4 linked regions of the Pelodiscus sinensis genome follow. The protein of the gene in region 3 interacts with the protein of the main gene of each other region in a pairwise test. Links are inferred from orthologs where the notes say so. Each region holds a gene or a part of one and is shown on either strand. Other genes may lie near its edges.

Region 1 (7,849 bases), on a different chromosome or scaffold from region 3:
GTGTGTGCTTTGCAGCACCAACTGAGTTGTAAACTCCTAGCAGTGTGCATAGAGGTATGCATCACAGACGTGCTGAACTCTATCCATTCTCCTTCTTGGTGGATTCCCATTAAACATTCACTAGTAATAGGCTATGGAGGACTTTTACCATGGCTGGGTGCGGATACCTTCAGCACACATTTTAGCATGGAGGAAGGTAGAGGAGCTGTACACTCTGCCACATAATGGGAGGGTTTAGAGCTTGCTCTGCCCTCTTGGTTGTACATTCTCCAGTCTCAGTGGGACATCACTTTGCATGGGATCATTGGCACGCTGCCTTCCATGTCACACCACACCTCCTAGCTCTCTATAACCCAGACCAGCTACTTGGCCTTAGGCCTTGGCCACTGAGGAACACAGTCGAGGATCCATTATGCAAAAAACTTGGTTTTTCAATGGACACTGAAAAGGAGACGGCTTGTTACACAGGGTGTGGTTTCCAGGAAACAACATGCTGTGGGAGAGTTCTGGACCTGTGGTGTCACCGCGTCCCCTGAGCCTGCCAAGTATGTTCTAAAAATAACCGGTAATGGGAGAGTACAAAAGCCATTAAAGCAAATACTAAGACAAAATGCCTGAGGCTCTATTTAACACAATGGAGTGTTTTACTAGTGCAACCTCCTTCTAAACAACAACTGGCATGTGACCTTTCACGGACACATGCACATAATGAACCTGCTGGCTTGTTACAGGATGACTTGGTGGGAAAAAAATTGCCCTGGGAAAGGTAGAGGCTACATCAGCATTTAGCTAGCTGAGGGAGTTCCAAACCAATCAAAGGAAGGGAAATGTTGAAAGCATGGAAAAATAGGAAAAGAAGCTGGTTTTAATGGTTGGGAGAACAACTGATTCTCTACATGTTCCTCCCACCTTCCCTTGACATCCCTTTGCCTTGTCTCCTGCAGTGCAAGATTGAGCAATCCCTGCATAATCAATGGAGTTCAACCACAGATGAGTCTGACTCCGTGTATTTGCTACTAGAGGGGAGAATCTCAAAGCCACTGAAGTCAAAAGGGAAGGTTTGCCACAGAGTTTAGTGGGAGCATGAGGAGGCTCAGAGCACACAACTGCTGATTCATTATTTATTATCATAGCACCTGGGAGCTCCAGTCCTGGCTCAAAACTCCACTGTGCTAGGTGCTGAACAAAACACAGAACAAAAGAGACATTCCCTGTCCCTAAAGAGCTGGCAATCTAAGTATCAAAGAGAAAACAGATGGCTCTAGAAGGATGAAGAAACACAAGGAAAACAATGAGACAATATTGGTCGGCATCATAGACACTAACATTGTTAAGTTGGTTATAGTTTTAAGAAGGGATTTAACAGAGGATAATGAGATAGTTTGGTTGCTATTTACAAGAAGCACCCCCCAGTTGTGAGGAGAGGCATGGGAAAAAGCATAAAGGTGTTCTGTTTGACAATTTGGCAAGAGGACAGTGAAGGCTAGCACTGGGCACTGATCAGAGGAGAGTATCAACATCTCAATACTGAATGACAGATGAAAGGTTGGTGGGGATAGGCTGTGAAAGGCCTTAAAATTGTGTTTTATGTAATAGAGAAGGGGGTACCAATGCAGGGACATAAAGAAAGAGGTGACAGGGTTCAAGGGACAGGCTAGGAAAAATGACTGTGCAAGTTACTTCAGAGCCAGCTATGCCCGTTCTGAAAATATTGTATTATATACACATAAATCTCGTGACATGTATGAACTTTCCAGCCAGAATCATAATCCCTTTAATTTATAAGGGACTTCATGTATATACCTTCCTATAAACACAAGGTCCCTTATACATGAAAGGAATTGTGATTCTGGCTGGAAAAATTCTTGTATATCAGGAGATTTCAAAAGCAACACCCAACAGTTTTGCAAACAACACATGCTATGTATGTAGGACCATTCTCGTGGTCAGCATCTGCATACAATATACCTTAAGAAACAGAGAGAGGTGGGGAAAAAATAAGGACCTCTAAATGAACTACATTCAATGAGAAGTTAATTAATATCACATCTACACATTTTACAGGCTTTTGTATTTCCAATATATGCTATCTTCCACCCAGAATATAATTATAAAAACTTTCAAAAGTAACTTACAATAATCCTGGGACATTTAACAGAAAGAAATATATACTATGGAGTGTTTTTTTTTTATTTTACACCCATTCTGGCTTCATCCAACTATTATTCTACATTTGGGCCCTATTAAAAAGGCAGTGCTGTGTTCTTAAGTCATTCACAAATAACTACATGTATTCGTGTTTCTCCCTACACAATGATCTGAGGATACATTTTCTCTCTGAGGAGGAGGTTAACACCTGTGTTTATCTTATACATACACCCAGCATTACTGCTTTATTGTTCCATAATAAAGATGGAAGTGCTTCTGTAATAACAATACAAAATAATAAATATAAGAAAAAAGGGAATTGATGCTTTATATTTGGTTATCTGAGGCTTCTTCTGGCACTTAGAAACATACATCTGTTTGTGGTTCTAAATACAAAGTAACACCGGTATTTGAAACACAAGATTTATTTTAAAGCTATGTCGCTAATGAGGTTCCAGAATGAAAAAGTTTGCTTCACCAGGAGGTATCTATGGAACATTCAAAAGACTGGACTTACCTATTTTCCCTTAAAGCAGCAGGACAAGTCAAACAACAAGTGAAATTTCCCAAGTGTGCTTTCTTCACTGATGTTGCATATGTTGTGACTAATATGACTACTAGGTCAAGAGTGGTTCCTTGGTTTTCAATCCAGAACAGGCTCCTAAATACTGATTTCCTTTTGGATCTGTTGAGTTCACACCAGCTGAACAGACGACAGCCATACAGACCCACATTTCACAAATAGGAGTGGTGCTTTCTCGCACCCTCTCCGTACTAGATGATTAACTGTCCCAGAGAACAAGGAAGACTGCTAGTTCATAAACATGTGACAATCACCAAAGGAATGTTAGCCAAAGAAGTGGCAGAGAAAGCAGACTGAATCACTCCCAACTGTGACTGCTTATCTACTTCTTCCCCAACGATAATATTTCCTGAACATGTAGTCACCTGTCTGGGTATTAGCACTTCCTTGAACTGGCCAATTTTCTTGCTGGCAAATTCCCCCCCCCCCCCCCCCCCCCAATTAATTCAACTTTCCAGCGCAAGAACATAATTCTTCCTGTCCTGCTTAAACTCAAATTCTGGCCATAAATATTTTGGATCAGCTAAAGAAATGCATCTTTTCTACTGCCAATAGGCTCACAATGAAAAGTAAACTAACCATCACAGCTGATACTGGTAATGTTTCACCTCCAGGAAGTACTGCACTGGTAGCAAGAAACAGAAATACATTTTTGGTCAGACCTCACACAGTCAGTCATTACTTCATTTAACAGATCGATACAGCCTCAAGCTGATCCCCATTTCATTTACTAGGATTCCAAAACTAGGAGAGCTGACAAGTTGCCATGTTATACTTTTGTAGGTGGGATTAATATGCATTATGAGGTCAACTGTTCTGAGACTAAAAGCGGAAGCCTGCACCTGTATGGGCAGAACAGCATTGTTCATTCACAAGTGTATACTGAGTGATATATTAGCCAGTTACATGCCACTCCGGTGCGCAAACAGAGGCAAATTAACACTGGAGAGCATTTCTATTAAAACGGTGCTTCATTGACAACAAAAGATACAAAAGGCACTTCTATTTTTAAAAAATCTTTAGTGTCCTTTTAAAGGCCACTTATGATGTTGTAATGCTGATTTCAGTGCCGTATTATGTATTCAGCGCCCATATGCAGCTGCCATTAACATCTCCTGCATGTAGGAATCATTAAGACATAATATGGCCCTAAGTTTACTGGTTTGCACTGAAGGGCTTCCTTCCCTGCGTTCTTTAGGGTGAATCCAAACTCACCCTCACTGCCTGCAGGGGGCCCCTTTGCATCAGAAACAGAGCAATTCCCAGTAGTGGCAATTCCATCAGTAAAAAAACTAGTAGTCCTGTAGCACCTTAGAAACTAATAAGAATATATATGTAGTATCATGAGCTTTCATGGGCAAAACCCTAGTTAGAGCAGGATTTAAAAAAAAACCCTTTAATATCTTCAAAAACAACAAGGAGTTTTGTGGCACCTTAGAGACTAACATATGTATTTATTAGGGCATAAGCTTTCATGGGTAAAATCCACGTCAACAGATGAATTGGAGTGGAGTTACACTAGGCATGGGTATATATATATATATATATATATATATATATATATATGGACAACACAAGAAAGAGGGTGCTTGTGTAAATGAAACTCCACCATGTATACTGGCCAAACCAGAGAGTGTCTATGTCAAAGGATAAATGGACACAAATCAGACATCAGGAATGGTAAACCTGTAGGGGAACACTTTAACCTCCCTGAACATTCAGTAATGGATTTCAAAGTAGCCATCCTTCCACTAAAGAATTTCAAAACCGGATTACAAAGGGAGACAGCTGACCTGGAATTCATTTGAAAATTCAGTATCATCAGTTTAGGACTGAACAAGGATCTCAACTGATTAACGCATTACAAAGGCAATTTCCCCTCTCGATATCCACATTTCCACATCATCTGCTGTGAATGAGCCACTTCAACTCTAACTTGATTAGCTTAGTTACACAAGTACCCTCTTTCTTTTGTTGTCCTTATAGATATACCTATGCCTGGTATAACTCCACTCCAATTCATCTGATGAAGTGGGTTTTTACCCATGAAAGCTTATGCCCTAATAAACATATCTGTTAGTCTCTAAAGTGCCACAGGACTCCTTGCAGTTCTTGCAGATACAGACTAACATGGCTACCCCTCAGAGATTTTAATATCAGGCGCATCTCAAAGAGAGCAGTGAAAAGAGCTGCAATATTAAAGGCACAACACTGGAAATAGTTATCGTAGCAAAGACTAGATTGAAAAAGAAAAGCCAACAGGACATTGACTTCACTGAAGCCAGCATAAGAGGTTTGCAAGAAGCAACCTATTTGTCTGCAGTTTTAGGTACTTATATTGCCTCTAATCACCACAGTACCTAAGCACCTCGGCTGTGTCTACACTGGTGTGATCTCAAGCAAAAGCTGCCGCTCTTGCACAAAAACTTGCTGCCTGTCTACACTGGCCGCATATTCTTGCGCAAGTAAACTGATGTTCTAATGTATGAAATCAGGGCTTCTTGCGCCAGAACTCTGACGCTCCCACTCAGAAAGAAGCCTTTTTGCGCAAGAGCTCTTCCAGAAGAGGCCAGTGTAGACAGGCAAACATGAATTTCTTGCACAACAAAGCCCTATGGTTAAAATGGCCATCAGAACTATCTTGCACAAGAGAGCATCTACACTGGCATGGATGCTCTTGTGCAAAAGCACATGCCAGTGTAGATGCTCTCTTGGGGTATGTCTACACTACCCCGCTAGTTCGAACTAGCGGGGTAGTGTAGACATACCCTTGTGGAAGAGTTTTTGTGCAAGAAGCTGCCAATGTAGATGTAGCCCTCAAACGTCAATATTTATCTTCAATACTTCTGTGAAGTAGGGCAGTGCTGTTATCCCCATGTTATAGATGGGGAATGGAAGCACGAATAAACTTTCCCAAGATCACACAAAAAGTCTGACTAAGCAGAGAACTGCACCTACGTCTCTCAAGTCCTGGAGTAGTGCTCTAATTATGAGAGTCTAGATCATACTTCTCTATAGCCCTCCTGACTTTACTACTCATGGGAGCAGGGCCCAACCTGCCTACCTTGGGAAACCCACACTGGGGTCTATTAGCATTTGGCTGAATGCATGCAAAAACAAAAAGGCCCTGAACGTCCATCTGGCCGAAATGCTATGTATTGCACACCCATCTGCGTCACCTCTCCTGGATAGCATTCTGATACCTCCATCCCTCCCGCAGGGCACCAGAGACTTAACAGGGATTTTCAGAACTTAATTTTTTTTTAAGAACATTATATAGACATTGCTTGCAATCCTTTTGTCAGCCCCTGGGCTGCTGCTCAGACAGTTACCATCTTCTCAGCCTGCCAGCCAGATGGATTTTCAGGCTGCTGATATATGGCATCCAAACATACAACTGGGCCTCTGAGTATCAGCAGAAGAAAGAAAGGGAGCAGGCCTTGTGGAATTGTTTTTCTCTAGTCCTGGGTCACCTGTAAAACATCCAAATAGTACCCCTTTTAGTAACGGCTCACATCAGCCTTGTATAAGAATATACCCAGTCTGTAGAGTGCTTGGTGACTCCATCTGACCATAATGTGCCATTAAAAATGGAATATTCTTTTAGGTGGTGTTACTGGTCCCGTTGATGATTTTGCTTACCAAGCACTTCCCTTTACAAAATGCTGTTTTCAGTTGCTTGTAACTTGTCAAACTTTAGCCATTAAAGCTGAAATTTTCCATGATGCCTCAGGCTGAATTTCTTTCTCGCTCTTTCTTTTTTATAATTGCAGACAAAACCAGCTGTTTCTGAGAACATGGCTAGTAAAAAATACATGTTTTGTTCCTGTTAAAAAAATTCTCGAGATCTTTTCTTTGAAAAAGTCTACAATCCCATTTTCCTATCCCTGTAACACCATGACTGTGGTTTGGAGCAGAGACTTGGGATGAGGCAGAGGGGTTGCCATTTTGCCTTTCAGTCAGCAGTCAGCAGGAGCTGACAGATTTGGCCAAGTTCTAAGACTTGGGGCAGGGGATATTAAAGTTCATCCATGATCAGTGGAGACTTGTCCACACTGGGCATGCTCCTGCCCAGGGCTGAGCAGAACTTCCCTTGAAATTACTGCAGGCCATGATGGGTCCCGGCACCTAAACTGAGAGCAAGGAGGCTGCCTCTCCTATGCTTTCAGTGACCCTTGTCTGGTGCGGCCTAGGAATCACAGAGGAGATAAGAGCCAGATTTTGCAGGAGACTGGAGGGAGTAGGGAACAAATTAGGAATTTTCAATGGTTACATGTTTACACGCAGGGGAGGGAGGGCAGCTCCACAAGCAGCGGCTCCTGCCTGCCCCCCCACACTGTTGCCTCTGATACAGACACAGTAGCATGGGGTAGGGCTGCAGTAACCATGAAGGTAAATCGATGAGCCCAGGTTCATCGGTTAACCAATTACATTAGCACATGCCTACTAATAATACATATCTTACAGAACATTCATCTCCCTAATACTCCAGGGCTGTCACAACCTTGGAGAAAGATTTAAGTCATCAAATCCAAATGTCTTGCGTTTTGCAAATTTACTCTCTACCGCTTGAGTTTCTCTAGTCCAGCACCTTCAAGACCTGTTGGGTGCTGAATCAGAGAACTTGCCAAAATAAAGGAGGCCAATATTTTAATGAGTGGGTCTCTCTATTTTTATTTCACCAAGGTGAATAAACAGAACAATGCTTGCGATACTAATTAGTAATACGACTGTATTGATACATCCTATATAAGTGTATGTCTAACCAAGGCTTATCAGCTCTCTTCAAAACAGTGTTAGTGTTGTGGTGACATAATTTTACTGTATTGGCACAAGGAAATAAGTAGATAAAGCATAAAAACCATGCTTATACTTAGCACTATTACCAACACTTCCACTGCTTACTGGACTCTTAGAAGACATTTAGGGGTAAATTAGAGCTAAATAAGAGCACAGAACATGGAAAGCCAGGACTGGTGGCTGTAAAGAAGTTTATAGAACCACAGAAAACTTGGCCATACCCATACCTGGACATCCAGCTAAAGTCATGCTGGATTACGGATGTTGCCAGACTAGACAGGTTCAATCTGTACCATCCTTCCCATAAAAATATCTTAT
Region 2 (7,234 bases), on a different chromosome or scaffold from region 3:
TTTAACACTTGTTCTACTCTAGAAGAACACTTTTGTGGTATAAAAGGTATAATGGAGGCCAAACACCTCTTTCACTCAGCTGACTACAAAATGAAACAGGCTTAGACATTACTGGAATGGGAGGACAGCTGTGCATGAGAAAAAGAAGAGAGTAGTTCATTCTACTAATCCCCGGCACTTGCCAGAAGTATGGCTTACCCTGTTCACATATAAAACTGATGTGGGACGTGATGGTTCAATGAAGTACAGCAAAAATAGTAACAAGAAGCAAAATAACTTTATTCTTTTTACTATATTTATAAGCTTCAGGGAGTAGCCGAGTTAGTCTGCATAGAATAAACAACGAATAGTCTGGTAGGACTTCAAAGTCTAAAGAAACATGTAGATGGTATCATGAGCTTCCGTGGGCAGAAGTGGGTTGTGTTAAATTCGTTGTTTTTTAAGTTTATACTCTATTTATGTTAGAGTAGCAATCAGAAGCCCAAGTCAGGATCAGGGTACCACTTACATGAACACACGTTCGGAAAAGCTCACCAGACGCATTTAGTAAGTTTGCTAAAAGGAATGTGCTGAAGAATAATTTTGTTCACTGTAAAAAGACTAGAAATAAATTCCAGCTATAATCAGTTCTTTCCTCTTTTTCTGCCTATTGTTTTAGTACCATTAGAGGGGACCCCGGGGCTGGTGATGGGTGCCAGCTGCAACTTCAGACACAGGATTCTTTCACCCTGAGTACAGATGTGTTCAAACTTTCCCCCTCTGTGACTCTCACTGTTCTGTCAATATACCTCAACAATGACCAGACTGTTGGGACCCCCTCCCAGAGCTAATAAAGCATCTCAATCTCCATGCCCATTCAAACCTCTAGATCACCAGTAAGACTGGTGATAAAGATCTCAATCAGTGCCATTTGTGGAAAGTTTTATGCAGTGGACAGCAATCTATTAGCAAATGGACTGTGAGCGTCACAATCATGTCATGTAAGCAAGTCGTCCATCAAATGGTAAGTAGAGCCAACCACCACAAAACATTTCCACTTATGTTATTTTGTTCTGACCATGCCAATACCCCTTTTGTGTTCCTCTCTCAAGAGTGTTTGTGCAAATGAATTTCAATGGTACTAAATTCACTTTGTGAACATTCAAAGCATCATATGCAAGTATGCACAGAAACAAAATACTAAGTTCACACCAATAAATAGTTCTTCCGAGGCATGGAACAGAAACAATACCTTGAAATAGGGATGTAAAATCTCACTTAATTGGCTAACTAATTAAATATGATGTTTAACTGATTAAAGGGAGGTAGATAGGGGGCTAGGCTGGAGCAGTGCCCCTGCATGTGATGGGGTCGGGCCTGCTGCAGACAGTGGGGCTCTGGCCACCCACAGCTGCCCCTGCCTGTGGTGGGCCCCACAGGGCTGCAGCACTCCCCAGCTGGGTGGAAAGGCAGCTGCTCCAACCCCCATCAGTTAACCAGTTAAGGGTGATGCTTACCAGTCAATCTTTCACATCCATACCATGAAACATAACTAGGAAATCAAGTAACCAAAAAAAAAATGTAGCAAATGTCAAATACTCTCAGGCTGGCTAATGATTAAGCCAGTGTACATTTTTTAAACTACAGTTCCTATGCGTGGGTTGCCTGTTGATGTACATCTGATGAGCAGAAAGAGAGATTAAAGGTGTATGAGTCACAAAAAACTTCATTCACAACACTGCTCTGGTAAAAGCTTTTGGTCACTGACAGCCTGGACTGTTTTTAAGTCTATCACAGGAGCAAGAAAGCTGCATAGATTCTGTGAACAACTGCTTGAATGTCTGTACACCCAAACTGCATTTGATCTATAAGCAACAGCCCCATAAGCACTGCTATTTAACCCACCCATCAAAATGTTTGCTCTGCTGATGTGTCTTGCTGCATCGACCATTCTATTCCTGTGCCCAGGGACACAAAATCTGAATCAGTAAAATTGTGGGTCTAAAATGAACTGTGCATGTTGGTAAATGCAATGTAATCACAACAGCTACAGGTGCTTCAACTTACTGAAAGTGCCATTACAGGGAATTAAAACAGCAGCTTTTGGGACAGGAGATCACCGCCCCCAGCACTCTCTGCATTTCTGCTCCCTAATTTATGCCTCTACCCCAGCATGGGGGACTAAGAGCACTCCTCTTCCTCTGCCCCCCATTCACTCCCCCCAGCACGAAGGGGGGCAGACACCTCCTCCTCTACCCCCCATTAACTCCCCTCCCCAGCACGGGGGGGGGCAGACCCCTCCTCCTCAGCCCCCCCATTAATTCCCCTCCCCAGCACGGGGGGGGGCAGACCCCTCCTCCTCAGCCCCCCCATTAACTCCCCTCCCCAGCACGGGGGGGGGGGCAGACCCCTCCTCCTCAGCCCCCCCATTAACTCCCTCCCCAGCACGGGGGGGGGCAGACCCCTCCTCCTCAGCCCCCCCATTAACTCCCTCCCCAGCACGGGGGGGGCAGACCCCTCCTCCTCAGCCCCCCCATTAACTCCCCTCCCCAGCACGGGGGGGGCAGACCCCTCCTCCCCAGCCCCCCCATTAACTCCCCTCCCCAGCACGGGGGGGGGCAGACCCCTCCTCCCCAGCCCCCCCATTAACTCCCCTCCCCAGCACGGGGGGGGCAGACCCCTCCTCCCCAGCCCCCCCATTAACTCCCCTCCCCAGCACGGGGGGGGCAGACCCCTCCTCCCCAGCCCCCCCATTAACTCCCCTCCCCAGCACGGGGGGGGCAGACCCCTCCTCCCCAGCCCCCCCATTAACTCCCCTCCCCAGCACGGGGGGGGGCAGACCCCTCCCATTCGCTCCCCTCCCCCTTACCGGCTCCTCCCGCGCGGCGCTGCAGGGGGAGAAAGTGTCCGAGGCTCGTTCCCGCATCCCCCTCCCCCCACGAGTGAGGAGCGGACCCAAGAAAGCTCCCGCTTCCGGGTGCTGTCTGCGTCGGGGGGGGGGGGGGGGGGGAGGGACGGAACGTCAACCACGTGACCAGGAATGAGCGGTCGCAGCTGACGGCGTCCATAGCTACCGAGGCGGAACAATGGCGTCACGTGGCCTGGTGGGGCGTGGCCGCTGCCAGGGGGTGCGGGTCATATGACTTGTACCGCGGGTAGCACTTGGCGTTGGGGGCGTGCGGTTCCAGCTGTGGTTCCAGACACGTGACTCCCCTTTCCTTCCACGTGGGCCTTTCTCACCTCTGCCTCAGTCCCCAGCCCGCCTCTGTTCGCTCCCCTCCCCCCACCCCCATTTCCCTTTCACCCCCTGCCAGGCAGCGTCCTCCAGGGCTACCCTGAATGGTGCTGCTAACCCCCAGGGTTCAGACATCACACACCAGGCCCTCCCCCACATTATGAGAGGAGGGGGGGGGAAAGAATTGCCAGATGTTGTAAAAAAGGAAACATCTGGGGGGTGCATTTAGAGTGCACTTAGGACAAGTTTTAAAACTTTTCTGTGCCTCTGCAAGGGCTGGACATATGTTTAATGGAAGTTGAGATGCTTACATAATAAACATGACTCCAAAAGCTGGGACTTTAAATCACCATGACAATCATTGCAAAACTCCAGATAAAATATGAGAGTTGGCACTAGGCCTCAAAACTCAGCCCATTCCAGTGCCCCTTTACAGTGATTTTTTATTAACTCTAGCGAAAGCCAATGGACACAGATAAGCTTGTAGATATTTTTTATTCATATGAGGAAATGGAGAGAGGAAAATTCTGAAAAGTCTCTGTCATATTATAAGATGGCTGATTACAACAGCTGCATAATTCAAATTATGCATCACTGGCATGGCAAAATGTTTCCTTCGAACATAAGATGCATACGTTCTCTGAAAGAGGACAGTGAATTTGCATTCTCTTTGGGGGGGGCAACGGGGGAGAAATCCTTTGTTGAACATCAAGCAAGTGTATTTGCAGCTGTTGTGGTTTAAAACCAACAGATGGCTGTGTTTGGAAGTATTGCTATGTGTGAGAAAGGCAACTGAAGGCTGATTAAATGTATTTTAATAACTAGAAAAATAAGAATTCTTCCCTAACCCAATGCTGTAAAAAGAAGAAATATTTATTAAGAGAGTCCAAATTTTAGAAGGAACCAATTAAAGGTGACCTGTAAGTTGGAGGAGAACTTGGTTTGTGCCCTTTTTTTCTTCTTAATCTTCTTCAATTTCTCATTGAATTCTGGCATGCATCAAAGGGCAACATTTGAACCTTAATTTGTGAATTAGAAAAGCAAATTACCAGTAAAAGCTTTCCAAACCAATTTTTATTCTGGTTCCTGCAGGACCCCCACCTTTTATGCTTGTCAACAAGAAATAACTGTGGATGGCTGCTGCCATCTACAGAAAAGGAAGTATATAATTATTGTTCAATACAGTGTGCTACAATTTATACCCTGATCATGCATTTAACATGCTGACATCACAGGTGAGTAATTCCATTTAATTTTAACGGGACTTTGAGTACATGCCATTAAACATCTGTATATCTTGCTCCTCTAGCCCCAGAGCACACTGAGGCTGAAATCCCTGCCTAGAGCTTGGGCTTCTACTGGGCATTCAGCCAAAAGCCCATCTTCTGCTGACAGTGCTGTGCCAATTCCTAGTAGCTCCACAGTCAGGAGTTCCCATTCCCGGTTTGTTCTCCTACATTCCTTGCCTGCAAGAACATTTTGTCTAGGCCTCTTCCTCTTCCATGAGCCTCTGCTCATTGGAATAGCTTCTGAACCAGCTTCCCTGAGGAGCTTCTGCTAAGGAACATCTGGAGCTTTCTGAGTCCTAAGGAGCCAGTCTGAAATTTTGTCTCAAATGGTGTCTGTTAAGTTAGATCCCAAGCCGCCTTTCCCATTTAGTAGAATGAGCTGAATAACTGTAAGCTGCAGGCCTGTCTTGCCCAGCCCAGGAAGCACTAGTGCCAGGATCAAAGTCTGTTTGGGTCATTCCTTCGGAGCACAGTTTTATTTTTCACGCATAAGATTCACAAACACGGTTATGCAAACTGGCAACACTATCAGGTAACCAGGGACAAATTGTGAGGTGGCAACATTGGCAGATGATTCAACTACTTAGGATAGTTAAGTCCCATGCAGACAGTGAAAAGTTACAAAGAGATCTCACAAAACTTGGTGGGTGACTGTTAGAGTTGCCAGGTGTCCAGTTTTGAACCGGACAGTCTGGTATTTGTGGGTTCTGTCTGGGAAACAAATTGAGAAAATACCGGACATATAAAATGTCCGGTATTTTCTAATTAGGTAAGTTTTATTATTATTAGGAGTATCAGTACGTAGTTGCAAACTGCCTGGCTGCGTGAGTGTGTCTACCAGCCAGGCAGTATTAAACTATGCCAGGGGGTGGGAGGGAATCCCCTGGGCCGGACTTGCTCGTGCTTCTCCGGGACCGTGCGCGGGACGGGCAGCGCTCCAGGATCTGCATGCGCCTGGGTCAGTCCTGCTCCCCACTGGCTTATTCTCTCCCTCCACTCTCCCCCTCCCCTCCCCCACCAGCCCTGCTTCCTACCAGCCGGTATGTCCCCCTCCCCGCCTCCTCTCCACCAGCCCTGCTTCCCGCCGGATGGTTTCCCCTCCCCACCTCCTCCCAGCCAGCCCCACTGCCCTCCCGGCCAGTCCCCTACCCCCATTTGAGATCAAATGTGTCCGGTATTTTTTTTGAAGCCACCTGGTAATCCTAGTGACTGGCCATCAAAATGGCAGATGGCGCAACACATGGGGAGGCACAAGGGGCCACATGCACCCAAATGTGAGGTGGGGGGGCCCAGCTAGCCGATGGAGGGGAAACTAGCAGTGGAGGGGGCCTGGCATCTATAGGAGAGGTGCACTCACCCACAGCAGCAGGGGAAGATGAACAAGGCAGCCCCACTGTTTTGCTCTCCTGGCCACGTGACTCCACTCGCGCTGGAGAACGCAGGGCAATCCTCTCCTGTCTCCAGAGTGGCGCAGCTGGGAGGCTGCCTTGCCCCATGTGCCCCATCGTTGCCAGTGAGTGTGGGGCAGCGGGAGATATGGCAGACTCGCTATTCCCCCAGATGGCTTCAGTTCGAAGCACTTACTTCGAAATAGAGCACTCGTCCTCCAACTTCCCTTAGTCCTCGTACAATGAGGGTTACAGGAGTCGGAGTAAGAAATCCTCCAGCTTGACAGTATTTTGACATTATGTCAAAATAACTGCCGGCTGTGTAGACGTGGACTGTGTTATTTCGATTTATCGCTAGTTATTTCCAAAAAATGTTGGAGAGGCAGCCAAAACAAGCTAGAAGAAATGTTGGGAACCATTGGCAAAGGCATAGTTAATAAAGCAGGAAATAGCTTGTTGCCTTTGTATAAATCCATGGTACACCCACATTTTGAAGACTGTGTGCAGATGTGGTCACCCACCCCATCTCAAAAAAAGATACTGGAATTAGAAAAGGTACAGAAAAGGGCAACAAAATTATTAGGGGTACGGAGCAGTTTCCATCTGAGGAGAGATGAATACAGGCCCATACACAGGAATTTCTGGGGGTGTGTGCTTTTTTTGTAAATGTGGACTGCACCCTTTGCACACGCACATACACATACACAAACTCTCTGCTGCGTATGGGCTTGCACAACTAATATTAGCCCCTTTTTTCCTGGTTCCTGATAAAAGCCTTCTAATTTATAGCTACCAATATTTGTGGCAGGACTGTACTTTACCCTACCTATCAAACTGCAATCAAATGATTAAACCACGTGTCATTCAACTGTGGTCCATGGACTACAAGGAAGGCGGGAGGGTGTCCGGTGGATAACTAGGGGTATGTCTACACTACCACCCTAGTTCGAATGTAGTCAATCGAAGTTGCAAATGAAGCCCGGGATTTAAATATCCCGGGCTTCATTTGCATCTTGCCAGGCGCCACCATTTTTAAATCCCCGGTAGTTCGGACTCCGTGCCCGCGGCTACACGCGGCACAGAGTAGGTAGTTCGAATTATTTAAATCCCAGGCTTCATTTGCAACTTCGATTGACTACATTAACCACCCTAGTTTGAACTAGGGTGGTAGTGTAGACATACCCTAGTTGATTACATGATGACAGCTAGTAAAGGGAATTGAAGGACAGCTCAAAATGCTTCTAATAATAACACCATCACTTTCCCCTGTGAAGCATGACTGTACTTGCCGTGGGAATGTTCTGTGATAACAATGAGAAGGAGCATGGAAGGACACTGTCCCA
Region 3 (6,904 bases):
GGAAAGTTTTTATGATTGTACAATAACTTGAGGATGACATTTCTTTAAAAAAGTATCTCTCACCCCTCCTTGCTTGTGAATGAGGAACACAAAAACTAACACAAACACAAAAACTAATTACATGGGAACAAGCCAGCAAATCTGTGTAAACACAATGCTGTCAAATATACAAATTAAATAAACAATAGAAAAAGTTTGCATTGCTATAACTAAAGGAAATTTGCAATCTTACGTGCCATATGTAACAATCGTAGGTGGCTAGTTTCAGACAAAAGTGCAATTTTAAGGTGGCATCCTTTTAACAAAGCTCTTCTAAAAGATGCATAACAAAAGGTCAGAAGAAACACTTGTTTAAGAAAGTCCATTTCACCATTGTATCTAGATTTACTGCATTTTTATATCTTTGCTTTACTTATGTATTGCACATGGGTCATTATGAGTAAAGGGTAGCATAACTATATAAGCATGTTGATATACTTTTACTGTTTTAAGAAGTCACATTTATTTGGTTATGATCTTGTCAAGTTTCAAACTAAGAAGGACTGTTATTAAAATACGATGGCAATGCAAGGAGCACCTCTTAGCTTAGGCAGTACTTGGGATTAGACACTTTCAAAGAAAGACTCAGTATTACTGCAAGAATGCAGGTGGCAGTTTAAAAGCAGTACTTTTGTTTGTGTCAGCACTAAATCAGTACCCAATATAATGTAAGGAGCAATCCTATTGGAGATGCCATGAAACAGAACAAAGACCAAGGACATTTATGGTCTCTAAAAGGTGCCATGTCCAAAGTAAAGGATGGGTAGTTGTGATCTATTTCCATACCTGCAATAACATGCATACTTATATATGTAATTAGTACTCAGTATATACTTTTGTATTGGTTCTCTTTGGAGATCAGATTTTATTTTCATGTTACTAGTTTCTAAGACCCCCCTCCCACAGATTTTACAATAAAGCTATTGACACACAATATTTTATTGCACTTTTTGTAAGGGCATGTGAGTAAGTTATCTATACATTTTGCCTGACACCTGACTATATCTCCCAGAGATTGACTTAAAACATAAGGAAAGTGGTTTTTCACTATCCCTCATTCTCTTCCCTACCCAGTATCAAATAGTACTTTAAAAATTGTATATAAATATGCATATTCTTAGAGCAGAATACAGAGTGATCATAACAATGCTGCAGTATGTTCACATTGCATAGGACTCTCAATGTGCACATCACTGTACTAGTGGAAAATACCACTATGTTTACAGCAATAGATAATTTAGTTACAAAATTCAAAACAAAAGAATACATGATGCAGACAGGAAAAACAAACAGGGAAACATTTAGGTCTCAGATAGCCTTTGAACTGAATACTTAAGAATTCACCAGCACCGAGTTTTTCAATTATGTCACCCATTTTAAAAGCACCACTCCTCCAGTACCTAATGAGCTCTAGTTAGCTCTTAGCTTTAACCATTCTTTTGAAAATAATTCCCTGCTCTCCCTCCGTAGCTTGGGATACGAGGGAGGGGGTTTCAAGTGCAAACAATGCCCAGCACCAATACAAGCCCTCTGCTGCTACTACAGCAGCCACATCACTCCTGCGTCGGCGGAAACCGGGCGGCGGCAGGAAGCTTTTCCTTGGCTTGGCACAAGGGGAAGGAGGCGCTCCACTCCGCTAGTCTCCACCCAGCGTGCGCGACGGGGTCGAGGAGGTGGGGCGCTGAGGGACAATGGACGGGTGGGACGAGCAGCCTGCCAGCTTCGCCACCACCCTTGTCTCCAGACAGCGACAAGAGGAGACTTGCCAACAAAAAAAAAGTGCCCCCGCAGCGCGCAGTGCCCGGGGGGAGGCAGCAGCAGGCGGCGCAAGGAGCATTTGCACCGACCCCATGTAACTGTGTTTTTAAGACAAAGAACCTGCCTCGAATGAGCAGCTCTAGTGCCGGGGCGCAGGCGGAAGGGAGCCGAGCCAGCAGGGGAGCGGAGAAGGCGGCGGGGGGCGGGCAGCAGCGGACGGAAGGCGAAGCTGCGCTAGAGGCGGACGAGCGGGCGGCGGGACGCGGAGAGACGCACATGTCTCCCCTCCCCGAGCGCTGCAGGCAGCACCCCGCTCGTACGCGCGCCGCGCCCCAGGGACAGCGAGCCCGGGCATGTCCCCGCCCAGCCAAAAGGGCCCGAGACGCCACAGGGGGCCAGCAGAGGCTGCGGACAAAGGGGAAACTCCCTGCTCCGCACGGCAGCGCAGACTGGGCCCGGCGTTGCCTAGGGAGGAACACTGGGGAGCCAGCCGGGGTGCCCCTGGCACCGTCCCCCCGTCACAGCCCCAGGGCAGCTCCGCCACAAAGCCAGCCACGCCCCCTAGCGCGGCTACTTCCCTCCCCCGGAGCAGGAGCCGGAGCGGGGGACGGCACTTACCAGCACAGCCGGAGGACGAGCCCCTTCTCCGGGGAGCGGCGGCGGGGGATTCCGGCAAGGGGCTGCGGGCAGGGGGCTCCGGTTTGGGAGGCAGAGGGGCTGGAGGCCGGGCGGGGGGCTCGGGCTCCTGCGGGAGGGATGGGCTGGAGGAGGAGGAGGAGACGGCGGAAGGGCTCCTGTCCGGTTGGGGCAGAGGCTGCTCAGGGGCTGTAGGGCGGGGGGGCTCCCCGGAGCCGCCGAGGTCCTGCAGCGGGGCGGGGACCGCAGCCGTGGCCGGCACCTTCCTCTCCATCACCTCCAGCTGCTCGTCGAAGTCCTCGTCGTCGTCCTCCTCCTCCTCTTCCTCCTCAAACTCCGCTTCCTCCTCCTCCTCGGGCTCCCGCACGAACTGGTACTGGAAGAGGGGCTGCTGGGGCCGGGCCGGGCCGGAGGAGGAGACCAGTGGGGACTGGTCCGGCTCGTCCATGGTGCTGAGGCGGCTGGAACAATGCGTGAGCGGGGCTCTCTCCGCCGGCTCCTCGGACTGCTCGCACGGGCGGGGGGCTGCGCAGCTGCCGCGGTGCCCAGCCGAGCCTCCACGCCCTGTTGAGTCAGACGGGGAAGGGGAGGGGTAGACGGGGAGGCAGGGCTAACCCAGACAAGAGAGGGATAGCCCGGCCTGCCAATGGGACGGGAGAAGAAGCCGGGACCCACACGGGGAACCAATGAGAGAGGCTGCTGCCGCCTCTGCTCTATGAATATTCAACGGGATGGATGCTGGGGGCTGAGCTGGGATGGAGAAGTTCGGTGCGGAGAATGTGGGTGGGGTGGACCCTGAAGAGTTCCGGGGGGGGGGCACCCTGAGGCGGCCGCGTGTGAGAGGGGAGCTGGGTATTTGATGGGGGGGGTGCGGGGGGCCATGTGCGTCTGAAGGTTGGTGTCTGTGTGAAGGGAAAAGGGGGGGGTCTCTAGCTGAGGGGGAGACTGGGAGCTCTTTGTGTCTGCGGGGGAGAGGAGCCAGAGTGACGGGTGGGGTTCTGTGTGTGCATAGCTGGAAGGGAGGTTGTATACGGAGATAAAAGGGAGTGGGAGGATGGATTCACTTCAGGGTGTCGCCCCGAGGAGGATTTGCAACAGCTCCTAGCCAGCGCTTCAGACAGCAGTCTGCTGCGTGCCAGACATTTTGTGGCAAAAAAAAAAAAAAAAAAAAAAAAACTTTTGCTGCGAGAGGCGGGGGGATTAAACAAGTGACACGGAGAGGCTGGAAGAATCCTCTTTGTCAGACACTGACAGGCTGCTGCGGTGTCTTGCTGCTAGGAGCGAATCACATCTCGGGCTGCACCGTGGCTATATACAGTAGCTTTCCAGCCTACACTAGGCTTTATAAATGGTGGGATGAGTCACCTCCATGTGAGTGACACAGCTAAAAACTTAAACTCTGAAAAGGAATTTGGAATAATGCCAGGGTAATTTCTTTATCAATTGTTCTGGGCTCAGTTTAATGATTCAACATTTTTTTAGGCCAATTTCTAGTAGTCAGGGCCAGACCAACCTTAGATGCATTAAATGAAAAGGGGGGGGGGGGATCCTTGTAGTAATTTGGGACCTGATTCTGTGGTATTGAGCACTTATTGCAAAATAAATCCTCAACTTCTTTTGTCTTAAAGGTGACTTGAGGGTGCTCAATACATCTTAGCTAGGGGTTATCAGCTTGCTGGATCAGTCATTTGGTGAAGAAGGAAAACAGCCATTTTAGTCAGTTGTCTGAGAATCATAAAATAAGGAAGTCTACATTGAAGAACATCTATGAGATACCATATCAGCATTTTAAGGCTTTTTTATATAAATGTTCTGTTTATATAGAACTTACCTTATCCACAAGTATCTCACATTTATACAGACACCACCACTGAAATACAACCCCTACTGGAGTGGAAGGTGGTGACCAGTCAGCATATCATTCAATAGCAGAATTTGTGGAAGGAGTGCAAAAGGGGAATGAAATGTTGGGCAAAATACCGGAGTTAATCATGCACTATGCACAAAAAATGCTTTTACTATTACATGTCCATGCAGAGAAGACTTGTTTTAAGTTACTTCAAAGATTCATACAAAGTAAGTTTCAGGGTACTTGCTCCGGCACTTATTAATGGATCTCAAAGTCACTGTACGTTTCAGGCCAATTCCACAAGCCAAATACACAGGGAAGCCTCGGAACCTAACTTCATTTACAGGTTTGATTCCAATCACAAAGGTATGAATGAAGACATTGGCTGGATGGCCCCTACATTCCACATCCTATTGACATAAAAACCCAAACAATGGGTACTTAAGAACAATTTGCAACTTCTCTATCAGCTTCATGGAGGCTCTTAATTGACTATTTCTTTCCCTTTTTTTCCCTCTCTTCCCCCCCCCCTTCCTCCCCATCCCCTATTTATTTCAAAACTGGACCTTCAATAACTCCATTCATCTGAAGAGATGGGTTGTGCCCACGAAAGCTCATAGTATCATCTACGTATTTTGTTAGTCTTTAAGGTGCTGCAAAAAAGTTTTTCCAGTTACAGACTAACTCAGCTACCCTCTGAAGTTTTTGTGGTACTGTCTTTTATAAGCAAATCATCCCAAATTGCTTTTCAAAGCATCTTTCTCTCCCCCACATCCTTCTCCTATTTATTTCGGGTTTTCATTTCCCCTACACATAACTTCGGTCATCTGAAGAAGTGGGCTGTGCCCACGCAAGCTCATGATACCATATATATGTTTTGTTAGTCTATAAAGTGCTACCAGACCATTTGTTGTTTTTTTCTGTAACAGACTAACTCAGGGTACGTCTACACTACAACGTTAATTCGAACTAACTTAGTTCGAATTAGTTAATTCGAACTAAGCTAATTCGAACTAACGCATCTAGAACTAAAAACTAGTTCGAATTAGCGTTTTGCTAATTTGAACTAGCGCGTCCACATTAAGTGGACCCTGAACCAGGCTTAAGGATGGCCGGAAGCAGTGCCAGCAGGGCATCAGAGGAGGACTTAGAGCGTGGAGATGCTGTCTCAGGCTAGCCGAGGGCTGTACTTAAAGGGTCCCGACCCCCACCCCGAACAGCCAGTTCTCAGGGTGCCCCGCTTGCAAAGCAGTCCTGGCTTGGATTGCCCGGAGTACCCACACTGGGCACATCACAGCACTCGGCCATCAGACCGGCTGCACTTGCCACAGGCTGCCATCTGCGGAGAGGGGACAATTGGGGGGCTGCAGGAGAGCTTCCACCCCCAGAAGCCCGCAGAGCCAGCCCAGTCCTCCCCATCGGGGGCGCGTACCCCATTCCTCCCTCACCTCTTTCCACTTACCCTTCCCTAGCCCCTCTTCTTGATGTACAAAATAAAGGACAATTGTGTTCAAAAATGGAATCTGTCTTTATTGAACAAAACTGGGGGAGACTGGGAAAAGGAGGTGGGAGAGGGGAGGGCAACTAAAATGATCAGGGGTTGGGAACAGGTCCCATATGAAGAGAGGCTAAAGAGACTGGGACTTTTCAGTGTAGAAAAGAGGAAACGGAGGGGGGACAGGATAGAGGTCTCTAAAAGCATGAGTGGGGTGGAGAGGGTGCATAAAGAAAAGTTCATTAGTTCCCATAAAGAAGGACTAGAGGACACCAAAGGAAAGGAATGGGTAGCAGGCTTCAAACTAGTAACAGAAAGTTGTTCTTGACAAAGCAAAGAGTTAACCTGTGGAACTCCTTGCTGCAGGAGGCTGTGAAGGCTACAACTAGAACAGAGTTTAAAGGGACGTGAGATCAAGTCATTGAGGTTGGGTCCATGGAGTGCTGTTAGCCAGGGGGTAGGATTGGTGTCCCTGCCCAAGATTTGTGGAAGGCTGGAGATGGATGGCACGAGACAAATGGCTTGGTCACTGTCTTCGGTCCATCCCCTCCAGGGTCCCTAGGGTTGGCCGCTGTCGGCAGACAGGCTACTGGGCTAGATGGACCTTTGGTCTGACCCAGGACGGCCATTGTATGCTCAGAGCTCAGGGTCGGGGGTCTCAGTGGATCCCCTTGATTCTCTTGCACACCTGCTCCTGGGTGGCCAGGCTGGCAGCTCTCCTGCCCTAGCTGGCCACTTTCCTGTGCCTAGTGCAGAGATCGTGGACGAGGTTCACGATGTCCACACTAGCCCAGGCGGGCGACCGCCTCTTGCGGTCCCGGGCAAGCTCCCGGGAGCCGCCAGCCTGGTCCCGGGAAGAGGGGGAGGGTTGCGGGGCATCGGGTGGGTGGCTCGATCCGTGCCAGGTGCAGGTCTGCTGGCTGGGAGCTGGCAGGCTTGCACCTGGCACGGTCACCATAGCCAGCCCGTGCCCCTTTAAGAGGTCCGGGGCCGGGAGGGGGGCAGACAAGTTTCCCTGGTGTTGGCCAGAGTGGCCACCAGGGAAACTTGGGGAGGGCTAGCCTCCCACTAGTTCGAATTAAGGGTCTACACAGCTCTTAATTCGAACTAGTAAGTTCGAACTAGGC
Region 4 (7,593 bases), on a different chromosome or scaffold from region 3:
AAGGAACTACATGGCCTCATTCCCTCTCCGTATAAGAAATCCCCTTTCTGTCTATGGGACTGCACCTCCCTCGGGACCCCATGCCTCCCTCTGTGCGTGGGGAATGCCTATTCCCCCCCCATAGGGAACTCCAGCTCCACAGACCCCAGGGCCCGCCCGCCTTCTCCACCGGGGACTCCCCCACCACAGGAGATCCTAATACCCCCTTCTCCACCGATGGGCCCAGGCTGCCCGGGAGGGGGGAGGGGACCCCATTACCGGCCGCCTCCAGCTTGACACCGTTCGCTGCTGCCGCCACCGTGCAGGGATCAACATGGAGCCGCCTCCTCCTCGACCCCCCCCGCCCGCGCCGCGGGGCCAGGATGGGATGGGCGGGGCTATCGCCAGGAGGGAGGGAGAAGGCAGAGAGCCGACCGTCCCCGAGAGGCATGCCGGGAAATGTAGTCCCTTTGCCATCCCATCTGGTACGAACCCATTTCAACGAACTATGGCGTCAGAGGACTACAAATTCCAGCAACCATCCGGGCGGGCGCCCTCGCTACACGGGGAGCCTCTCTTTGGGTAGCTCTATTGTCCAGGACTATGTCTCTCGGCAGCCTCCTTGGGAGAGTAACCGCGGACCTGGCTGCTCTGGGCCCCACGCCACCCAAAGCATTCTCAGAGCAGAGCCTGGGATAATGCCCAGGCTTGCGAGAGTAAGAGATAGTGGTTGGCTCCTGGGAGTCCAAGGCAGGAGCCCTGACTGATTACAGAGCACTGGCAGAGCTTTGCATATAGGGCTCTGTATGAATGGTGCATCTTCCACAAAGACAGATGAGCCCTGCCTGGCCCTTCCCTGCAACCTGTGCATTGCCTTTGCTCACAATGCTTCTAGCTGGGCTTTGCGCCTTTCTTCTAGCCAGTGCATTATCTTTGCCTGTACATGTGGCTTCTTCCCATAGCTCCATTCACTGCAGCTCTCTTGCAGCTATTCTAAACAGTTCCTTCAAATGCTGTAGTTAAACTTGCTTCCTGGCTTCTGAGGAAGAGTCCCAAGGTATGAGACTGAGTCCTGGAACTGACAGCAAAAAGGAAGGAACTTTGTGGGCTGGCTGTAGAAGAGGAGTCATGCACAGCAGGTGGGCAGGCCTTTACACATGTATTGTTGTTGTTATTAATGTATTCCAGTAGTACCTACAGGCCCCAACACAAGGTAGACTTGAACCTGGGATGTCTAAAGCTTAATATAGGAGCCTCTACCCTGTGAGCTAAAAGCCAGCTGACTTTTAGCCCATGCTGTAGAGCAGGCATGTCAAACTGGCATTTAGGGGGCTGCATGCAGCCTGATCGAAATTTTTTGCAGCCCCCCCACTACATTTTTATAAAAGAATGAAGTGCAGCCCACTGGCCGCTCAGAGCATGTGGCCAAGTGCCTGCTCACAGTTGGCCGGGACACTACGCTACAGCAACTTCTCACGGCGGGCTGGGCTGCACCACGCATGCACGTATGGCCGGCTGGCAACTCTGCACTGGGCTCTCCAGCATATTCAACATTTAAAAGTACTTAAATTTATATTTAAATTAAAAAATATGTAAAATTAATTTTAAAATTAATGAGCAAATAATTTTATACATCAAATTATTGCAATATTATAAAATAACTAAAACAATCTAGAATAATAAATAATTATGACTGTCAAAAGCCCTATGGTTGCCAGGTGTCCAGTATTTGTGCCTTCTGCCTGGCACCTAAAATGGGTTTGTTTGTTTTTCCTCAACCAATTTTTTTCTTTTTTGGTCAAACAATGTGGCCCTGAAAGCTATCAGTTTTCATTTACATCGAGTTTGACATGCCTGCTGTAGAGGCCTCGGCTACGTCTACACTGGCCCCTTTTTCGAAAGGGGCATGCTAATTTTAAACTTCGGAATAGGGAAATCCGCGGGGGATTTAAATATCCCCCGCGGGATTTAAATAAAGATGTCCGCCGCTTTTTTCCGGCTTGGGGAAAAGCCGGAAAAAAGCGTCTAGACTGGCCCGATCCTCCGGAATAAAGCCCTATTCCGGAGGAGCTCTTATTCCTACTTCGAAGTAGGAATAAGAGCTCCTCCGGAATAGGGCTTTATTCCGGAGGATCGGGCCAGTCTAGACGCTTTTTTCCGGCTTTTCCCCAAGCCGGAAAAAAGCGGCGGACATCTTTATTTAAATCCCGCGGGGGATATTTAAATCCCCAGCGGATTTCCCTATTCCGAAGTTTAAAATTAGCATGTCCCTTTCGAAAAAGGGGCCAGTGTAGACGTAGCCCTCTTGTTCTTATCTGTTGCTGTGGTCTAGGTGCCACTGCATGGAACAGTATACCACACTAGGGCTACGTCTACACTGGCCCCTTTTCCGGAAGGGGCATGTTAATTTCAACTATCGTAGTAGGAGGGAAATCCGCGGGGGATTTAAATATCCCCCGCGGCATTTAAATAAAAATGTCCGCCGCTTTTTTCCGGCTTTTAGAAAAGCCGGAAAAGAGCGTCTACACTGGCCCCGATCCTCCGGAAAAAGCGCCCTTTTCCGGAGGCTCTTATTCCTACTTTTCCGGAGGCTCTTATTCCTACTTTGAAGTAGGAATAAGAGCCTCCGGAAAAGGGCGCTTTTTCCGGAGGATCGGGGCCAATGTAGACGCTCTTTTCCGGCTTTTCTAAAAGCCGGAAAAAAGCGGCGGACATTTTTATTTAAATGCCGCGGGGGATATTTAAATCCCCCGCGGATTTCCCTCCTACTACGATAGTTGAAATTAACATGCCCCTTCCGGAAAAGGGGCCAGTGTAGATGAGCCCTAGGTCTGTGGGTTACACAACTTTTATTAATAACTCATTTTTTACAAAATGCCTAAAAGTTTCATCAGTTTCCAAGCAATTTTACTTGTGGCATCTGTGCTGCTAGCAGGGCTTACTCAGTGTTCAGTCAGTACTCACTTTAGTGTCCCTATGCAACACGATGGGGGTGGGGGAGGGCACTGTGCTGCAAAGTGAGTAACTCAGTAGGGGGCACTCTTCACTCACACGCCAGACTGGCCCCATGCTGCACGAGAGGGGGTTCAATAAGCAATGCTGTTTCTTAAACACAGTGTAGAAAGAAGCTGGTTGAAGAGCCCCCACATTTTATTACACTTTGCTTGGAAAAGAACCCAGGAGTCCTGATTCCCAGTTGTTCCCAACCTGACTAGAAGCCACTCCCTGTTCTGATCCTACCTCTTAGATAATGCTGCAGTATTCCTGTATGTGGAAACAAAGATTCCCTCCAATAGGCACTCAGGAAGAGAAACAGCTCTGATGGGAATACGTTTGAAAGCAAATATACATTAGCAACTGTTTAGTTTCTGCTGATACATCAGAAACGCCATATATTCAAATATCTGAACTACAGTCTCTTCCATTTTGCCCTAAAAGGCACGGACAATCTTGTCCTGTGAGGCATGCAATGATCCAATTGCTTAACCAGAGAACGGAAAGGTAAAATCACTCTGATAAGGAAACAAAAGATGTTATCTTAACTACACCAATAGACAGCAAAGCATAGATAGCTCCAACCAGAGCCACAGCAAATCCCTGGAATGAGTGCAGCTCTGGTGCAGCCATGCAGGGCTGTTGGCACATGTTGGATGCCAGCTTTTGGAGTCATGACTGCATCAAAAGCTCAGTTTCCATTTATAAAACAAAGGAAGTTTCCAGCTTCTGTGGTTGTGGAGAAAAGTTTGAAAGGATAATTCAGCTGTAACTAATGCTGCCTGCATCTGCAGAGAGCCTGAGGCAATAGCTCAAAGCACAGGGAGCTGCTACCATGACCTCGTACATGACCAAGGCAGCCATACCTGCCTGACAGTCACTCAGGGGAGCAACCCTGTACTCCTCAGTGGGGAGTTAAGTCCCAGCCCCATAGGTCTCGGGAAGGGCTGGTTTGAAAGGAAATGGATTTAAATGTCTTTTTGATTTGCGAGAAAAGAGAAAAAACAGCAAAAAGAGAGAATGGGAAAATAAAGAAAAGGAAAGTGACAAAAGGCAAACGGATGAAATAAGAAAGGGGAGGAGAGAAAATACGAGAAAGGCTGAAGGGGAATAAATGAAAGACAAATTCTCCTTTCCCATTAAACTCGAACCAAAGAATCAATTCAGCAGCCGCCCGGTCTCGACTCAGCAGGGCGTCACCCGCCCTAGTCTGGTTTTCTGGAGCCTAAAGCACATATGTTAATCGGATCTATTGCGCATGCGTAAAAGGGGAGCCCACTCCGCCCTTGCCCACATTTGGCGCATGCGTAATAAGCAACCTCAAACCCTAAAACTCAGAAGGCGTAGTGAATACCTGGCGTCCGTTGACGCCTGCGCGTTGCGAGCGCCTCTCTGTTCCAGTGGCTCACGCCTGGTGCTCAACCGTCCAGCCTCTAGCTACAAGCGCTTGCGCGGGGTACGCCTTCTTCTCGGCCCTCCCCCATGGCGCATGCGCAGTTGCTATCCTGCAATCCGTCCTAGCTAGGACAGCCGAGCTCGGTTGCGCGGTGTCAGTCTACTCGGTATCTTCCCGCCGTGAGGGACGGACGTTTAGTGCTAGGCTCCCGTTGCTGTCGCGAAGATGGCCGACCCCGCCACCCAGTCGCCGTATATCTCCTCCTCCGCCGGAGGGGGCTCCTCAGAGCCGGGTACCGCCCCGATGCCCGCGGGCGGCCGCGACTGTAAGGGAACCAGCTCCCAGTCCTGTGCCGGTAAGAGCCGGGGGGAGGGGCAGGGAACAGCCGGGCAGCGGGCTGGGGGCGACGAGTGGGAGGAACAGCCTGTGGAGTATCTGGGAACAGCTGGGGTGGGGGGAGGGGGAACAGCCGTGTGAGTGGTGGGCACAGCCCATGGTGCTTGCGAGGCACAGCCTGGTGACAGCTGGGGGGCGGGGAACGTGGGCACGGGAGTGTGGGGGGGGAGCCTGAGGGTGGGAGAAGGGAACAGCCGGCGGGGGCGGCGAAAGAGGGAAGTAACTGGGGGTGGAGGCTGGGCTAAAGGAGTGGGGGGGGGAGCTGGGAGCAGTTTGGGTTTGGCGCGTGAGTGGGGGCTGAGATTTTGAGTAAGGGGGACTTGGGCTGAAGGTTGGATCGAGGTTGGGGCATGGGAAGCTTTGCTACAGGCTTGCTATCACTGGGGGATAGTTAGGGGCTTTGAAGTGCAAGGGTGGCAGGAATTTGGCTCATGGGGAGAGAACTGTGGTGGGGTATAGACTCGGGCTAGGTAGGGTGGATTTTGTAAAGTAAAAGGTGTGATTTTTAGAGCAGGGTGAGTTTTGGTGGCTGGAAGAAGATTGAGGTGGGGGTCTCAGATTGGGGTGGTGAGGATTGCAGAATGTACTATGTTGCACTTTCTAGTTTCATTTTGACAGTGATGGTTCAAACTAAAAGGGGACTGGGTCAGGGAACAATGTCTGAATTGAAGGGAGGTGATAGAGCAGATTCCCTTTGCCTTAGTGGTGTTCACTCCCAGATCTTGCTGAGCCTCCCAGTCTGGGCTGACTTTTACCGTCTCTGTTTCTTAAGGCCCAAAACTGTAGGAATTATCAAAAATCAGGGGGTGTGCTGAGGAGAGCACAATACCCACTGGATCACCCCTCTGCAAGGGCTGGATGGGTGATGATGCAAGATGTACAGTGTATATATATACACACACCCTCCATTGTTCCAATACTAAACATGGCAGTGAGGAAATACCTTAATTCCTAGAAAAATCCCTTTCACCATCACAAACATTTCTCAGGGCAGGTGGAAGAGCGGTGGGGGACTGCTGGAAGCTTGCAGTGATCTGTGTTTTTGAGGGGGTGGTAGCAATTGCAAATGCTCCCTTTTGTTATGTTGCTGCTCAGTAATTGGAGTGGGGGTGGAGGGAGAGCATATTAAACAAAGCAGTATGTGGCTAAATCCCCCCTTCATTTAAGGGGAGCTGTCCAAAATAAGAGGCTGTGCTTTACTTCTCTTTATATCCCTGTCAGGCTCGGTGTTGGCAAGCTAGCTTCTCTTGCAAAGATCTGCACTGCAGATGCCTTCTTGGAGGGGGGGAAAAACTGGGCAGGTGACAGCTCTTAAAGGGGCAGCGCTTTTTATAACAGCCATAACAATGATAAACACAATTTCATCTTTTTCAACAAGCATCCAGAGCAAAAATGATTTGTTAGCTTTAAAAATTCATGGGTCTTCTGTTTTAACTTGTTTACCAAATTGCCTGTCTCCTGCGTGGGAATGTACCAGGCTGGCATGTTTTTCTCACTAAATAGAATTCATTTGGTTGAGAAGCTGATTTTCCGGGGTGGCTGTAGAAACTGCTCATCCCAGCACATGAGCTGTACAGCAGCTTCCATCTTTCGTCTTAAAGCCCAACACCCTTTTGAAGTGCCATACAAGCCTAATTTCAGAGATGAAATGGCTTTCCTACTTCTTAGCAGGACAGGTCTGTGTGGTTACATGCAAGCGAAGGAAGATGAGGCAGCATGCTTTCACACTTCAGCCTTACAGCATGCGAGTATAATGTATGCCTTTCTGGAACCTTGTGTCATGATGCTTTTCCACCCCCTCCTTGCAGATGTTTTAGTTTGTGCCAGAACTGGGGTGCAAAGGGAGGTTATTACTCAGCAATTTAGTGCTTTGCCTTCATCATTATTGGTTAATCCATCACCCTGTCTGCTCTGAAATGCAGCCCTTTCACCCAGTATTTGAGGACTGTTTATTCTCTGATTCACCACAATTGTTTGTGAATTACCTCAGCTATCCTAGAAATCAAACCTTTGTCCTCAAATTCTCCAGATAAGCTAGTGTTCTATAAATGTTGAGCCATCTTGACAGCTATTGGCACCGTGGTTTAACAGACAGTTTGTAATCAGAAGGCAAAAAGGGTTCAGAGTCATGTTTCTTCTAGAATCAGGTGTGGACTCTGTTCCCCAAGAAGATTAATTTATGCCCAGTGTCTGCCTGAAGCTCAGATTAAACATATGCAAGATGATATACCAAAATGATGTAATATGACTCACATGTAACAGTCATGTTTTCCGCTATTGGGGAAGTGGTGTCGTTTAGTGATTAGAACCTTGGTGTCCAACCAGTTCTGAAGCCATTATAGTGGCTACTGCTGTAGCGAACTAGCCACACTCAACCAGTCAAATAGCCACACGTGGCTAGTGGATAGCGTGTTGGACACTACAAGGTTAGAACATGGAATGAAGGTGGATGGGTGTCAAATCTTCAGTTCAGTTTACCCATCTGTATTCAGGAGAATTAAGCTAATTCAGTGCTTATTAATGTGTTAATAGTAAAAACATGGGTAGCCTGCAAAACACATTTTATCTGACTTTTTTTCTATGTCCCAAAACTAAATGTTTATTACAGCAGTTTGTATATCTTATCACAACTGTAGTATCTGAACTTGGTTTTGTTCTAGATACTGTTTGCACTGCATTTTTTTTATAAATTCCACTGCAAACAACATTTAAAAAAATCTTTGATGTCTTGATTTTTAAATAGCAACACTTCTGGAGATTAAAGCCATCTGTTTGCCCAGTGAACTGCTTATGCATAATGACTTGTGCCTCAGTTTGAGATGCTGCAT

Evidence for each region.
Region 1: the proteins of RTN4 (region 3) and SYT16 interact in binary tests that used the Homo sapiens proteins (3 or more experiments, as listed by UniProt). The link is inferred for Pelodiscus sinensis from reciprocal best matches to the Homo sapiens genes RTN4 and SYT16.
Region 2: the proteins of RTN4 (region 3) and SPG21 interact in a two-hybrid assay, tested with the Homo sapiens proteins (2 studies listed by BioGRID and IntAct). The two-hybrid records come from large-scale screens. The link is inferred for Pelodiscus sinensis from reciprocal best matches to the Homo sapiens genes RTN4 and SPG21.
Region 4: the proteins of RTN4 (region 3) and RTN3 interact in binary tests that used the Homo sapiens proteins (3 or more experiments, as listed by UniProt). The link is inferred for Pelodiscus sinensis from reciprocal best matches to the Homo sapiens genes RTN4 and RTN3.

The regions. Positions count from the first base shown.
Region 1 is NC_134714.1:14,093,627-14,101,475, reverse strand, and holds the start of SYT16 (synaptotagmin-16), read right to left. Parts: upstream 3,012-7,849; 5' UTR 2,666-3,011; intron 1-2,665. UniProt on the Homo sapiens protein: May be involved in the trafficking and exocytosis of secretory vesicles in non-neuronal tissues. Is Ca(2+)-independent.
Region 2 is NC_134724.1:6,636,341-6,643,574, reverse strand, and holds the start of SPG21 (maspardin), read right to left. Parts: upstream 3,008-7,234; 5' UTR 2,849-3,007; intron 1-2,848. UniProt on the Homo sapiens protein: May play a role as a negative regulatory factor in CD4-dependent T-cell activation.
Region 3 is NC_134713.1:175,891,351-175,898,254, forward strand, and holds the start of RTN4 (reticulon-4), read right to left. Parts: upstream 3,020-6,904; 5' UTR 2,882-3,019; coding exon 2,416-2,881; intron 1-2,415. UniProt on the Homo sapiens protein: Required to induce the formation and stabilization of endoplasmic reticulum (ER) tubules. They regulate membrane morphogenesis in the ER by promoting tubular ER production.
Region 4 is NC_134721.1:33,994,055-34,001,647, reverse strand, and holds the start of RTN3 (reticulon-3), read left to right. Parts: upstream 1-4,592; 5' UTR 4,593-4,594; coding exon 4,595-4,724; intron 4,725-7,593. UniProt on the Homo sapiens protein: May be involved in membrane trafficking in the early secretory pathway. Inhibits BACE1 activity and amyloid precursor protein processing. May induce caspase-8 cascade and apoptosis.